Oryza sativa Japonica Group: one gene and its partner. The protein of the gene in region 2 interacts with the protein of the main gene of each other region in a pairwise test. Links are inferred from orthologs where the notes say so. Each region holds a gene or a part of one and is shown on either strand. Other genes may lie near its edges.

The links. The genes of interacting proteins can lie anywhere in the genome.
Region 1: the proteins of transcription factor PCF5 (region 2) and MADS-box transcription factor 27-like interact in binary tests that used the Arabidopsis thaliana proteins (3 or more experiments, as listed by UniProt). The link is inferred for Oryza sativa Japonica Group from reciprocal best matches to the Arabidopsis thaliana genes TCP4 and AGL21.

Annotation. Positions count from the first base shown.
Region 1 is NC_089038.1:23,538,476-23,545,940, forward strand, and holds the end of MADS-box transcription factor 27-like, read left to right. Parts: intron 1-1,462; exon of another isoform or gene 1,463-1,756; intron 1,757-1,827; exon of another isoform or gene 1,828-1,918; intron 1,919-1,994; exon of another isoform or gene 1,995-2,619; coding exon 2,620-2,681; exon of another isoform or gene 2,682-2,697; intron 2,698-3,136; coding exon of another isoform or gene 3,137-3,194; exon of another isoform or gene 3,195-3,343; intron 3,344-3,411; coding exon 3,412-3,511; intron 3,512-3,595; coding exon 3,596-3,637; intron 3,638-3,713; coding exon 3,714-3,797; intron 3,798-3,874; coding exon 3,875-4,029; intron 4,030-4,116; coding exon 4,117-4,135; 3' UTR 4,136-4,342; downstream 4,343-7,465. UniProt on the Arabidopsis thaliana protein: Probable transcription factor.
Region 2 is NC_089035.1:6,229,110-6,237,719, forward strand, and holds transcription factor PCF5, read right to left. Parts: upstream 5,073-8,610; 5' UTR 4,739-5,072; intron 4,732-4,738; exon of another isoform or gene 4,632-4,731; 5' UTR 4,298-4,631; coding exon 2,921-4,297; 3' UTR 2,819-2,920; intron 2,705-2,818; 3' UTR 2,251-2,704; downstream 1-2,250. UniProt on the Arabidopsis thaliana protein: Transcription factor playing a pivotal role in the control of morphogenesis of shoot organs by negatively regulating the expression of boundary-specific genes such as CUC genes, probably through the induction of miRNA (e.g. miR164).

The DNA.
Region 1 (7,465 bases), on a different chromosome or scaffold from region 2:
CACCCCAAAATCTTCTGAGAGCTCACCTTTTCACAATGGCGAAAGCCCTTGTGCCATTGAATTGGGTTTGCCAAATCACCACTTTCGCTATCTTTCATTTTGAGAGAAAATAGAAACATTTCTAGTCTTTACCAAGGTTACCAAAATCAGGTGTTTGCTCCCCCTCTTTTGCTGTAGTGTGAGAAATAATCCCGCCTAAAACAAGTGAATCTATCTTACAACTAACAAGTCACACACGTCATCTTTCTTAAAAAAAGGGAAATAAAGAGGACAACAAATCGGGTGAGGATCCTCTACCATAATATCACTATACCATTACGGTCACTTATATGTGAGTTCCGCTTTCTTAGTGTTACACATATCAATGTCTATAATGGTAGTGTCATTATGGTAGAGGGTGTAAACCCCAACAAATCATTGTCGCGAACGCAGCTATTAGCAACTAGAATTACCCTATGTTGCCTTCCTCAAAGACTAGCATTGATTACCTTAATCGACTTTCTTGTCCCCGCATGGAGATTATATGCTTACTGCAACTGTGCAATAAGGATCGAAGCAGTCTAGGGCAGATTCGCAACCCCAGATTTTGATTCGATGATCTAGATTATGTATTAAAGAACATTTGTGTAAACCTAGATTTCTCATCATGCATTGCTAATGCAACTGCTAAGTTGTAGTTATACTAGCAACCACACCAGATCTTGGTCCCCAGTCCCCAAGCCATAAAAACTACCACACATGTAAAGGAATATCTTACCTTCTAAATTACTACCTCCATATTTTAATGTATGACGCCATTGACGTTTTGTTCAACGTTTAATCATTCGTCTTATTTAAAAAATTTATGTAATTATCATTTATTTTATTATGACCTGATTCGTTATCAAATGTTCTTTAAGCATGACATAAATATTTTCATATTTACATAAAAGTTTTGAATAAAATAAATGGTCAAACATTGGTCGAAAAGTCAACGGTGTCGTTTAAAATACGGAGGGAGTACTTTTTATCATTTAAAATTTGAGGATTTGTCCAAACGTCGAAATTGGATAATAATGGGTGACAATCAACTTTGCCATTTTGTCTTTCCAAAAAATTTTCCGTTAAAGTACGGCTGAACCATTTAAGCCCTCTCGCTTTGGTTCTTTTGAATATTTTTATTGTTTAAGCCGCTGTTTTTTAAACCTTAAGTAGTAGACTGTTAGCTTCACATAGACCAGAAAAGCTACTGTAACCTAGCTTTTAGCTTAACATAGAGTGACTTATGACCTTAAAAAATACAAACGAAAAAATATCTATTTATTTAGGTTTAAACATAAACAAAAGAGGGCCTTAATCAACAAACAGCCGGATGCTCATGCTCATGTGTCGTTGAGAGGATCCCACTCGATAATCAATTGGCTTAATAAACTCAGCTAGAGGGGTAAAATATCGATCAGTAGATCACACAGATAATAATCCCTTTTATCAGAAGCTGATTTCCTATAAGAAAAATGTAGAGCAGCCGCATCCACGATGCGCAAAACAACCAAAAGGGCAATATTCAATCCACCGAACACCCTTCAGGATAATTCGTATACAAAACTTGCAGGTACACAACTAATTATGGTCCAATTCCTAAGCTGCGTAAACGGTGGAAATGTACATACAAATTGTCAATCGAACAGTCCTCATGCCATCGAAATGCTTCTGAATTTAGTTAAAATAAAATGCTTCTGAAGAGAACCATCCCATCACAGCTCGCATACAGAACACCCTGCTTGAATTCAGAGGATAAAAACATCATTATAACAAGAAAACTAACAAAGAATCACAAGGGGCACGTACCTGTTAAATCTGTGTTAAATCCTCTTAAAAGGATCAGTACTGCATCTTTAAGTTCACATTGAACCTTTTGCTTCGGTAACAGCTGACAGATCTGTACAGATTTCAGACTAACTGCTTATCTTTCACCGCAATAAAGCTTGTACCAGGATGATATAATCATCACTTACCTGACTTGTGCACTCTGCAGATACTTTGTAGTTAATCTAGCTTGGTGGGACTTGGGAGCATTTTGTTTAGACAAACAAGTTTTTTATCTGACTTGTGCACTCTGCAGATACTTTGTAGTTAATCTAGCTTGGTGGGACTTGGAAGCATTTTGCTTAGACAAACAAGTTTTTTACCTGACTTGTGCACTCTGCAGATACTTTGTAGTTAATCTAGCTTTGGTGGGACTTGGAAGCATTTTGCTTAGACAAACAAGCTTTTTACAATAGGGGGTAACACCCCGCAAAACGAGGACTGATAATGGAGTACCAAATTCAATAGAGTTGGTAGCTCATCGTCTTATCTGGAAAAAAAAACTGTCTTCAAACTGGAAAGATAATACTACTTCCCTTATTTGTTTACAACAAATTTCTTTGTTTGCCTCTTGTTACTTCTTTTACCATACACAATAACTTCCTCAGTTCAAATAGTCTTCTTGTCTAATGTAATTGAGTTTCCTTTTTTTTAAAAAAAAACTAGTGAGTTGATAACCCAGCATGTTTCTATGGGTATACACAACATATTTATATTGCTGCTTTTGGCAAACCTGGATTCTGCATTTCTTGACTCTGTTTTCATATCCAATAGTTCTGGCAAAGGGAGGCAGCAAGCTTGAGACAACAACTGCACAGCTTGCAAGAAAATCATCGGTATGGCCATAAAACCCTGCAAGTTTTTCAATGTTCCATCAGAAAATTCCTCAAGATAGAAAAACATAAACCATCATATATCTACTACTATGAAATACATGCATCATGAACCCTTGATGATGAACTTTTTTTTTTTGTGGGGACTTGCTCATGAATCCAGCAACTGCTAGCGACAATAATACTTCCAGCACCTGATTGTATAGTAAATATAAACTAGTACCAGATCATAAAAACAAGCACCTAGTGCTTGGGTATATGATACTTAGAAAAAAGAAGAAAAAACAGAGTATGAAAGTGATATATGCTGATTCCAAATTTCCTATAGATAATGCATTGTTTAACCTTCACAAACAAAAGAAATGAAGAAGGCACGTGAATTTTCTATATCATTTAAAAGTAAGAAATATATACCTTCAGCCATTCGATTTTTATGCATTTCCGGTTATCTCTAAAAGAAAAACAGAACTGAGCACCCATCAAAGGCGGACAGACCAAATTTACAAAGGAGAGTGAATATCACATTTTCTTCACCTGTGCTTTCTGCCTGGTAAATTATTGTTCAAACACTCCATTTTGTCCTTCAGGCCTAATTTACAATACCTAAACTAGAAAGGTACAAATTATTTTTATTATCAATTAACAGCTGTCTGTTGATCAGCTAAAATTAAGTGTCAATATTCACTCTGTATATCATCAGAACAACACTATAACATCCATTGGTTGATGGCAGGCAGTTGATGGGGCAAGATCTTTCTGGATTGGGTGTCAAGGAACTGCAAACTCTAGAAAATCAGCTAGAAATGAGCATACGCTGCATCCGGACAAAAAAGGTCAACCTACTAACCATATTTTTTTGTTGGGCACCTGATTGATTATATAATGGATTAACTTAAGATCAATATTGTTGTTTTCAGGACCAGCTCATGATTGATGAAATCCACGAACTGAATCGAAAGGTTCTACAACATCATGTACAATTGCTAAATCTTTGAATCAGCTAGTAAGCTAACTCTATTGCTGGCTTATTTGCAGGGAAGTCTCATCCACCAAGAAAACATGGAACTGTACAGAAAGGTCAACCTGATTCGCCAAGAAAATGCTGAGCTGTACAAGAAGGTACTTGATAAATGCAGATAGATGATTTCACAGGATATACGCTTCATTATATGATGACAGCTAATCTCTCTCCTCAGCTCTATGAGACAGGGGCAGAAAATGAAGCGAATCGAGATTCAACAACTCCATACAACTTTGCGGTTATCGAGGAAGCCAACACTCCTGCTCGTCTTGAACTCAATCCCCCAAGCCAACAAAATGATGCTGAGCAAACCACACCTCCTAAACTAGGGTAACTCAGATTTTCTGCACATGATCCATCTATCCATTCTCAGTTCTTTAGTGAAACATCAATTATAACTTAATGAAATTATTGCAGGCTCCAATTGCATCCATGACAATTTATGGTGTGGAAGTGTTGCCTATATTTTCACTATTCTTAAGGGCTACAGTTCAGAGCTCTTAAAATGTATTGGTCATAAAGAAGCTAACACATAACAAGACACAGTTTGCATGCTTGGATGATTAATATCTGATACTGTAAAATCTATTCGAATAAAAATGTATTATCTGAAGAGCCCATGAAAATTATTTTCTTATGACTATTTGGCACTATCTGCAAGTTTGTTTACCCAAATGACAGCTACATGTGTGCAAACTTATTGGCAAAAACAAACAGTGCGCGAAGTGTAGAGCATGCAAGATCAATGCTCTGTTTTATCTTAAAAAGCCATAAGCAGACAGAAGAGATGAAAAGGCATTATAATTTATCTGTGCAGATGTACCAGAACAAGAAAAGTATCAGCAAGAGCGACGCCAGGGGGCGGAGGGGCCTGGCCTCTTCCCACCCCCTCCACCCTTCTATTCTGCTGATGGATTAGCTAGGCACTGTGCTTGCACGTATGTATGTTTAGCAAGAGCGATAAGGTCTTTACTCTAGCCTTGTAGGCACACAACACCATCTATTTCCTTTTCCTTTTAGAATACCGAGTAATATGTACTAATCATTTGTATTATTTACATCACTAGGTGGCTAACATTGAAATTTTAAATTTCTAAAATATTAGTTAATACTTGTAACAGATGGATAGTTTGTTGCTCTTTTTGCCATAATCTAGTTCTTATTTTTTGTTTATTTTTTTCCTGTTTACCTACACTTTTAGCTTGAATGGTACAATCACTGCTTATAATCTGTCTGCTCATAAGGCTAAATTAACCTGCCTGTGTTTTAAATTGTCGTGTGTTTTTTTATACTGATACGGTATATTACCTATGGGGAACATTTAGATTAGCATAAACTTTTCTACGCTATTTTTTTTATAATCTTAATCACTTATAAAGCTGGGCCCCCTCATACTTAGATCCTGGCTTCGCCACTGGGTATCAGCGTTCAATCTTTCTTAATAATTTTAGACACATGTGCTCATTAAAACTTTTCTTACTGTTCTAAGAAATGCTCGCAAATAGTACCTTTAGCAAAACTTTATACACATAAAATAATCAGAAGCACATCAATGTAATATGTCCAGAAAGTTTATAGCGAAAGAATCATTTTGTCCAGGACCCAAGAACTTGGACCTTACACCTCTAATTGTGCCTCTTAAATACCCATGCACTTTCATGTTACTAACTTATACCACCGGATAGAATGATTATTAGTTATGTATATCAGAAAAACTATTTTATACTAGGCACGAGACCTTGGGTAATAATTACATCATAACTTGTTTCAAATAATTCTTGGAATTTGTAATGTGTACTTCACTAGGTTGGGAGCGCCTAATCCCCCGAGATATGAAAATGAAATAATGCATGCAAAGACATGGAAAATTTCAAAAATAAAGTAACATTCATGAACAGTTCCAATAATAATATTAACATACTACCTCCATCCCAAAATATAACTTTTGGCTATGAATCTGGACACACAGTTGTCCAGATTCATAGCTAAAAATGCTTATATTTTGGGACGGAGGGAGTAGAGTATGATGGCATCTACAAGGAGACAAGTGTCAAAGGGAGTGAATTAATCAAGTTTTAATAGTGTGTGGGGTAGAGAAAAGAATGTTAGATACTTAGAACATAATGGATGGTAATCCAGTTTGTTGAATTTTTAAAGTTCTATGCAAACATAAATGCAGTATAGAAAGTAAAGACAAACGGTAAATACCAATTATGTACAAGACATAATGTAAATTAGATACTTAGAACATAGTAGTTTTATATAGAACGGTCCATGTGTTCATTCATATACCTTGATAGGTTGAAGGTAGATCCTTCTGAAGATTACACCAAGGACTTGGTACAACACGTTCGTAATTATACAGGTACATGACTCTCACAAGGACTCTTACATAGACTCTCACACTTAGAATTTCATAAGTCTTTTATTTAGGTTATAACTATAACTATCTACTAACACTTAGATGGAGTGAAGTGTGATGGCTGGTGGAGAGGTGAAGAGGAATGGTTGAGTGAGATGTGTTGTGGTTGTGTTCCTGAGCCCCTTATATAGGACTCGGTGAAGAATCTTTATGATATCTCCATTTGACTTTAAGGGGTTTTATGATTATCCCTTTAGACTTCACGGAGAGAATCTTTGGTGATGACGCTTTTGACCTTCAATAAAAGTATCATAATATCGCCTTTTGACTATAGGCATATCTTATCTTGAATAGTGTAGATTCCTTATCTTCAATAGTGTTTTTTGTCGAGGATAACAAGATCTTCATTCATTATCTTCACCGTATAAGTCTTCTACAGACATCTTTTACAACGTTCCTAAATCAGATTGAAGAATCTGATCTAGTGTTGCATAGATAGAATTGACAAGACCACGATCTATAATGGTTTGGAGAGGTTTGGAAAGATATTTCATCTTGGTTGTTGTTTACACCCAAATTTGGCACCTAGGGTCGAAATAGGAAAAATTGCGAAAGTTTGGGGCTCTGCCGGTTTCCTCCAGAAAGGGCCGGTCTGACCGCCATATGTGGGCCGGTCAGACCGCCGCCGGAGAGCCGGTCAGACCGGTGGCATGTGGCCGGTCTGACCGGTAGAGTCTGAGTTAGACTCCGTTTTCGTCAGGTCTCGGGTGGTTGGCGACTCCATATCACCGCAAGGCGTTTAGGTGCTGCGATCGTGCTTGTTGACTTGTCACAAAAAGTTGCTCTTGCCTTTGATACCAGCTCTTGCCCAAACACCATATATATTGCATAATCATCCCAATTCCCTCCTTCCACAATATATACTTCGGACCCAGCCAATAGCACCATGTAGACCGTGTGCCTACAAAGATTCTTACCAAAAGAAACTTAAAGGCCAAAATCCCATGAGTACCGCATATGAATATCTCCAACCCAGATTGAGCTTCAAGACAGAGCAAATTTTATCTTGCTTTGGGCAAGACATCCTCGACCTTGTTTGGCAAAAGTTTAAAGAGAGACAAATGAAAATATTTCAAGATTATTTCTTTCATCTCTTATAAGGCAGAGAAAGAAACCCAGCCATACAAGTAATCATATACATGCTTCCTATCTTAAGGTTAGATGATCATCAGGTAATCTCTGACCCATCCTATAGATTCATGGTTCTCAAAGCCGAAATAAATCTCCAAAGATTCCGAAACTTACCCACATACAACCATGATGAAATATCTCTCCAAACCATTATAGATCATGGTCTTGTCAATTCTATCTATGCAACACTAGATCGGATTCTTCAATTTGATT
Region 2 (8,610 bases):
TTTATCATATACTGTATCACAATTTTGGGATTAGTCTACAGAAGAGGTTAATCAGCCAAGTGTCTAACACTTGTGTAGTCATATTTGCACAACAACCATAAATATCACATTAACAACAGAGAACCGTCGCAACAAACACCGTTTTTACATAAATAATACATTATTTGATTTTTTAGCAAAAACATGACTGACTTCACCTAAATTTAGTAAATTGATTATTGATTGCATACCAACTATAGCATGAGGACCTTTATGAACACATATATTTCAAGTGTTGTATATTTATTGACTTCACAACACACAAAGTGACAAAAAGAGTTTCAAAGTACTCTATATAAGTCTTAAAAAAAACTCTCCATATATATACTTTCGTTTTTTTTCCTGGCAACAATTATAACGACACCAATTTTCATAAATAACCAACAATCCCATTGTTGCACCACATATTGGAATTCAAAGTTTAGAGTACTTGCAAAAAATTGAAGTTTCAAATAAAAATGAAAAACCATGGTTAATAAATCTAGCACAAGAATAAAGCAAGATATTGACATGCTTTAGAAGAGCTCTCCAAGTATACACTCTTCTAGATATAAACCTTAACAATCCCAAACTAAAAAAAGTTAAGCCTTGCCTTTACCATACTGCTACTACAAATCCTAGTATTATATATGTTCTTCCACACTTTCAGCTAAAAGAACACATTAAGTGCTTAATACTACTACGTGTTGTTAAATTTGCATGTAGTAATTCTGATATCCACACCAAAAATATCTTCCACATGCATGGCATGAGTCATGACAAGTAGGGAGTAGCAAATAAAGGAGGCCAGACTAAGGTGGTGTTTAGATCCAGGGACTTAACTTTAGTCCCTGTCTTTAGACATTAATTTAGAGTATTAAATATAGACTACTTATAAAACTAATTACATAAATAAAAGCTAATTCACGAGATAAATTTTTTAAGCCTAATTAATCTATAATTAGAGAATGTTTACTGTAGCATCACATAGGCTAATCATGGATTAATTAGGCTCATTAGATTCGTCTCGCAAATTAGTCCAAGATTATGGATGGGTTTTATTAATAGTCTACGTTTAATATTTATAATTAATTTTCAAACATCCGATGTGATAGGGACTTAAAAGTTTTAGTCCCATCTAAACAGGGCCTAAAGCCTGTAAAGTATGGCAGCATGCATGCTTGTGATAACCACTTGTACAACGTACTCCTATGGTAGGAGTATAGTGGGTGTACACAGTGTTAGTCCTATCATTGCTCATTGCCTCATTCCATGATTTCCATCTTACAAGCAAAGCAGTCATTAATGGCGACCCCATAGAAGAGGGATATATAGGAGAGAGGGTTAGCTAGCTGCTCAAATCATGGTATATGCATGCCTAAGCTCATCTTCCCCTCCCCCACAAGGCCACAACTAATTACCCAGCCTTAAAGTTACAGACTTACAGTACACAAGCTAAGGTAGTGTCCATGTGGAAGCCAATCAGAGAAGAGAGCAGAAGTGAGCAATCATGGCCGACCCCTCATCTCTCTCTCTCTCTCTCTCTCTCTCTCTCTCTCTCTCTCTCTCTCTCTCTCTTCTCTGGCATCTGTCACAGAGTGCTGCATCAGTGAGTGCAGGCAGCAGGCCAAGGCCTGAAGAGCCTGAGGTAAAATGGTTAAAAAAGGCTTGTACTGTGCCGCTGGTGGCAATGCAAGAGCATGTAAGACAGACAGGATACTAATGTCACACACACATAAAACCTTTTCCTTGTGGCATTCTTGCCATGCCCAGTGATGATAGGTGGGATAGATGGCAGCATGGCACGGTGCAAAGGAAAGCTGTGGCTGCCTGCTGCTGCTGATGCAGAAGCAGGGAAAGAGACCCAACCAATCACATGGATATAGGGGAGAGGGGAAATTGCAGTTGTGTGTGTGTGAGGGTGTGTGCGGCCATGGGGGGAGGTGAGTGAGGCAATTCTTTTCAAAGCTTAAAGCATGCATTAAATCCAAACCTTTTGGTTGTTTTGAGGAAGGTATATATGAGGGCCAGCAAGCATTGTCATGCGGCTCTTTTTCTCAGTTCCAAACAAGGCTTTGAAAAAAGAAGAAAGCCCAAGATATAATAAGGATGGCTGGAGATACTTGGATTGCATAAAGAAAAACACTTAGGGCGGGGGAGATTTGTTGCACAGGCATGCATGCACCATCTGTTTCCAGCCTACACTACAGTATAAAGAAAAGAGGCCACAAGTTTTGGAAAAGATGAAAGATAGGCTCCTCTCCCAATCCATCACCATCCCACTTATCAGTTTTGAGAACAACATCGGTCTAGTAGCAACTGCTCCTGAACCCACAGGAGGAAGCAAAAGCATGTCCATGCATCAGCAACAAAAGAGTAAAAATCAAAACAAAGCAAAGCAAGCTCGAACCTACATCGATCAACTACACCTAGCGCAACGCAACAGCCAACAGACACAGAGGCTTGCTAAGCTAAGCTAAAGCTTGCCATCGTGTTGCTGCATTCTCACAAGCCTAATTCTAAGAAGCTCCGAGTGAATTCTTGAAACAAAAACCAATGACATGCGCAGCAGCAGAAGAGATCGATGGAAAACCAACCAACCAACCAACCGATATGTAGTAGCATCAGTAGTAGTGCACTTGTGCTACCTCCAAACTTTGCTCCTCCCGAATGCAATCGACAATTCCTGCATGTCAAGAACACCAAAACCAGCAGCACAAGATTGATCAGCTAACTAACACGAGAAAAATTCTGAACTAATGCAGGTTAGCCATGAGAATTCTCGGTTTTTTTTTCTCACCGTGATGGAAGTGGAGGAGCTAGCTGATAGTCTGGTACATGGTGTGGTGTTTGCTCATGGTGGATTGGTGGTGGTGAAGTCATCTGCTCGCCACTGCTGCGGTCAGTGGTGAGAAGCCGAGGAGACAGACGACGGCGGCGGCGGCTTGTCGCCATTGCCGCCGCCGCCGCCGTTGTGCTCCTCGTCGCCCTGTATCCTCGCGGGGAGGCGGAAGCCGGAGAAGCCGATGCCGGGAGCGGCAAAACCGATGGCCGCCGACACGGAGGGGCTCAGCCCTCCTTGGTGGTGGCTCATCTGGTTGTCGGCTTCGACGGTCTCCGGCCATCCTCGCTCGGAGGGCTGGTTACTGGACTGAAGGGGTCCCCTCTGGAAGAAGAACTGGCTCTGGTGGCCACCCAGCGCCGCAGCCGCCGCCTGCATATGCGCCGCTTGCTGCGACACGTTGAACAGGTAGGCGGCGCCGCCGCCGCCGCCGGGGTCGGGCACGTTCCACGGCAGCATGCGCTGGTTCTGCGCCTGCTGCTCGGTGGCCCACATGGCTCCGCCGCCGAACGAGTAATTGGCGGCGCCGGAGAAGAGCGCCTGCTGCGTGGTGCCATTGCCGCCGCCGCCGCCGCCGCCATGGCGATGTTGCTGGTGGTGGAACATGGGGTCTGGTAAGGACTGCAGCGACAGCCGGAGCTCCTGGCTCTGGCTGCCGGTGCGGGACAGGAGGTCAGGCGTGTAGCTCTGGAAACCCATGGCCGACGACTGCGCCGCCGTGGTGGACGACGATGCCTCCCCGCCTGCGGTGCCACCCATGGGGAAGAAGGACTTGATCGTGTCGGCTATGGCGTCCGAGTCGAGCGACGGCGGGAGGAAGCTGGTCCCGCCGCTGCCCCCGCCGGCGAAGTCGAAGGCGGTGTGCGCGACGGTGATGGCCTGCGCCTGGTCGTCGGAGTTCTCGGCGGAGTCGGGGTGGGTCGAGGAGGACGGCGGCGCGGCGGCATTGCCCGCGCCTGCGCCGCCGGCAGTGGGCTGCCACGCCGGCAGCACGTCGAGCTTGTCGATGGCGTCCTTGGCGTTCTTGATGAGCCAGTCCACCGCCTTGCTCGGGCGGTCGTAGCCCAGCCGGTCCTGCACGTCGTAGAACTGGATGGCGGTGTGCGCCGACAGCCGCACGCGGCGGTCGCGCGGCCCGCGCGCCGTGCAGACCTTGCTGTGCCGGTCCTTCCGCCCTGTCGACCGCACAATGTGCCCGCCCTGCACCGCCACGATCTCCCCGCCGCCGCCGCCGCCTCCGCCCCTCGACCGTGGAGTTGTCGTCGCGGGGACAATCTCACCTCCACCTCCACGACCCCGAGTGTGGGACGCGGCGGGGGGCTGTGGCTGCGCCGTGAACTGATGCAGGTGGTGGTGGTGGCCGACGCCACCGAAGGAGAGGAGCTGAGGCTGGAAGCCGTGTTGGTGGTGGTGGGAGTGGCCGCCGGCGTCGCCCATGGGCGAGAGAAGGGCATACTCGGCGGAGGAGCCCGACAGCTGCCTCACGGACGCCGGCTGGAGGTGGAAGACGGGAACAGGCGGCGGTTCTTGGTCCTGCTGCACACCCTGGTGGTGGTGGAGCTGGAGAAGCCGGTGGTGGTCGTGCTGCTGCTGCTGCTGCTCATCTGCCTCCTCCTGTCCCCCGCTTCCTCCTCCTCCTACGCCGCCGCCGTCGCCGCCGTGGGTGACCCGGTGGTGGTGGTGCCTCGGATCCAGATCCCCCGCCGCCTTCTTCCCCGCCGCTACTGTTGCTGCTCCAATGCGCGTCCATCCACCTCGCCGGATCCCATAACTAGGTCGACAAGAAACACAAAAACCATCAAAAGAATCAACAAGAAGAAGGCCCCGGAGGAGGAGGAGGCTGCAAGAAGAAGAGGTGGTGGCCAGGGAGGGACTGACCCAGGAGAGGAGTGGGGGACTAAACTAGACGCAATCCCATGGATTGGACATCACATTTTAACAGGGGGGACGGCCAGCCAAAGCTTTTGCTCCTCTCTCACTCTCTTGTTGGGTTTGTGTGGGAAGCTTGGTGAGCAGGAGGCAGAAGGGAGGCAAGAAGACAGGATGATAAGAGTAGGATTTGTGCTTTAGTGAGGAGAGAGAGAGATAGAGATTTTTGCTTCACACTGCTGCTGCTGATGCTGGCTGCTGCTTTGTGTGTGAGTGTGTGTATCAGAAGCAGATGGAGCTTACCTTAGCTTGGCTGGGGCTGCAGGAGGCTGGAGCCCAAGTGATGAAGAGAGGTGGTGATTTGGGAATTGGGAAGGGATGGATGATGCTGGGGGATTGTGGGTTATGCATGCGTGGATGATTAGGACATCTGTTGTATTATTAAAAAACAGTAGACAACGATCGAATCGCGATGAAACTCGAACACACACACGTGTACGTGCCTTTGGGAAAAAAAATAAAAACCGGAGGCACACACCCTAGTCTCCATGGATAAGGAATTAAGCGCATCTCGATAGCTTTATGGTAATATATAGCAATTTTAACTATGTTTATATATACGTTCGTGTATATGTAACCGCTAGTATCTACTCGCACAATTGTGGAGTGATCTACTTAGCCGATTTTTCTTTTTTGTTGTACAGTAGACATGTTTGTCATGACATGAATATCTATGCTCTTCAGAAGCTAACTTGTGGTATTCTTAGAGAGTGCTTGTACTATAATTCTTGTAGTTGGGCAGTTGCATAGGCAAGTAAGATGGCAACTGGAGCTTTTTCAAGGGTATATGCCAATGGTTAATGATTTTCCTTTTTGGAAAGTCGAGAGTTGCAATATTAGTTTCAAATGTGAGACCTTTCCCCTGAGATACTTGTTTATAGATTGATGGTGTGTTTTATTTGTAGCCCCACCTTGCTAAAAGAGGGTTTTATGTGGCGTCATTGTCCAAACTTGCCCCAAGTTTGATCCATTGCATGGAAATAAGATCAAGCTATTTTTAGTTCATTTGATGCCAAAAACATAACGGGTCGAGGGACCGAGATGGTGCCCATAGATTTGTTCAAAAAAGATAGAAGGAAACACCCCTCATTGGCACATCTACATACAGGATAGTGTAAACTTGTACTTCCTCCGTTTCAGGTTATAAGACGTTTTAACTTTAGTCAAAGTCAAACTGTTTTAAGTTTGACCAAATTTATAGAAAAAGGTAGTAACATTTTGAACCAAAGACAAATTTATTCTAAAAATATATTCAATTATTGATTTGATGAAACTAATTTAGTATTATAAACATTACTATATTTGTCTATAAACTTATTTAAACTTGAAACAGTTTGACTTTGACCAAAGTTGTTTTATAAACTGAAACGGAGGGAGTATTTCCCTAGTTTTTATTCTTCTTATTCTTTTTTTTTTGAGAGAGAGAGAGAGAGAGAGAGAGAGAGAGAGAGATTTCCCTAGTTCTTCTGCTTAGTTGGAGTGCTCAATTTCATGGCTGCTATGGGTAAGCCGTAGTACATCTCAAAGGGAAGAATGCTAAAAACATAATTCAGCCCTATATGAGAATGAAAAGGCCAATTTATAATGTTGTACGATGGTTCAAGAAGTCTGGTGGTGAGACATGATCATAACTATAGCTAAGAGCAATTAACCAGCTACCCAATCATGCCGAGCCCACACATGTGGTGAAGTTTTGAACCTGCTAGACATGAACAGAGTTTGGAAATGACATGTACAGTATGGAGTACATAGTTGGATGTCTTAACTGAAGATAGATTGATTTGTCATAGTTAAAGAGGCAATTATATTGAAAGGACATGTAATGCATGCGAAATGTACCACTTCATCCATTTCAGAGAGTAATACACACTCCATCAAAGTTACAAAATGGATGTCACTTGACTCACTTCTACTGTACACCCTAAAGGAATAAAGAAAAAAAAACTTCTTTCACCACAGATTTTTCTCAGCCACAAGTACTTAGTATTTTTTTAAAAAAAATTATGTACACTATCAGTACCGCATAACATGTTTTCATGACCAGAAGTATAGAAAAAAAAATAAAGCGATTAGTTCTCTAGCTTTGTTTGTTCGGATCAATTGAGATGCATCTGATAAGGCGTGAAAAAAAATAAACAAGATAAAAAAAATATAATTTATAGGTAAGAATGTTATGTATGTACTCCATCCATCCAAAAAAACAACCTATAAGTTATAGTCTTAGCTAAGAGAATGTTATGGGACGGAGTGAGTATTGTTTACCGTTTAAATTAATAACAAGTCTTAAAAATAGACTACGATGACAGAACCCAAAATCAAATATAAAATCAAGCTTTAATTGTAAAATTATTTGTTTTCCCGCAAATTTTTTTTAAAATTTTGGCTGTGCATAAGAAGCCAACAAGCAAGAGCTAGCGAGAGCCCCCTTCTCCGTTCCGTTGCCGTCCCGTCCCGCCGCGCGAGATCCGTGGAACACACCAACTCTGTGCACACACGACCAATAAATCTCTCTCGCGCGCGCACACACTCTCCCTCCCTCCCTGCCTTGCCTGCCAATGCATGTGTGCAGTGCTGTCCCTGTGGTGTGATCTCTTACAACTTTTGGCCTCCTCCGGGGGCAGCCTTTAATTGCTTTGCCGAAAGAGACGTGGCCTTTTCATCCCACACACACATGCATATGGCCGATCGATCACTGGAACAGAGAGATGCACTTGCTCATCAGTTTGCTCCTCGATGGCATAGGTGGCATTAATGCGTGTAGCTCTACAGCTAATTAAACGAGGAGATTAATAAACAACTCGATCAGGATCTCGCTTTGCCGCTGCTGCAGCATGCATGCATGCTACTACGCTGCTATGGTTGGGTGTTTGTTTCCCCCTTCTGTATCATCATGTGGTGTTGTTGTTTCTCTCTCTCTCCTCTCCGGCCAGACAAGGGACATTCCAGTGGAATGAAAAACTCAGCATTAAAATCCCCAACACCCTGTCCTTGCCACATGATCGAGATGGTTATTGCTACGTAGTACTCCCCCTACTGCTGCTGCTGGCTGGCTGCTGCATTGGGCCCTCTGTCTCTGAATGTGTACGGGTCCGGCTGGCTCAGTGGCTCACGTGATCGCTGGCTGTCCAGAAAACTCACATAGGAGTAGTAATTTTTTTTTATTCACAGTGATATACTCCCTACTACTACTACTATATTATACATCCAAGTTGATCTGCAACGAGTATCTACGGCGTGTTTACTTCGTGTGCCAATTTTTTTTTAAAGTATATAAACACACATGTGAAGTATTAAACGTAGACTAATAATAAAACAAATTACAGATTCCGCCTGTAAACTGCGAGACAAATTTATTAAGCCTAATTAATCCGTCATTAGCAAATGTTTACGGTAGCATCACATTGTCAAATCATGGTGTAATTAGGCTTAAAAGATTCATCTCACAATTTACATGCAAACTATGCAATTGCTTTTTTTCGTCCACATTTAATACTCAATGCATGTGTCCAAATATTTGATATGACGAAATTTTTAAAAGTTTGAAGGGAACTAAACCCTGATTTTTTTTGCAAAACCGGGTGATACTCAGCACAGGTCTGCAAAACCGGGTTTCAGTCAAGATGGCTCGTACTCGGCTCGTACATGGACAAGCTTATTTACTTGTACAGTTTTATGGGAAAAGTAGTGGTAGTAGTACAAACACTGGAGTGACATTTTTGCAAAGGACAATTCATTGCCAAAGAATTTCTGTCGGAAAGATGATAAAAATAAGTCCAGTCCTTAGTGCCCAGTCAAATCAACCAAACCGTGCACTAACGACG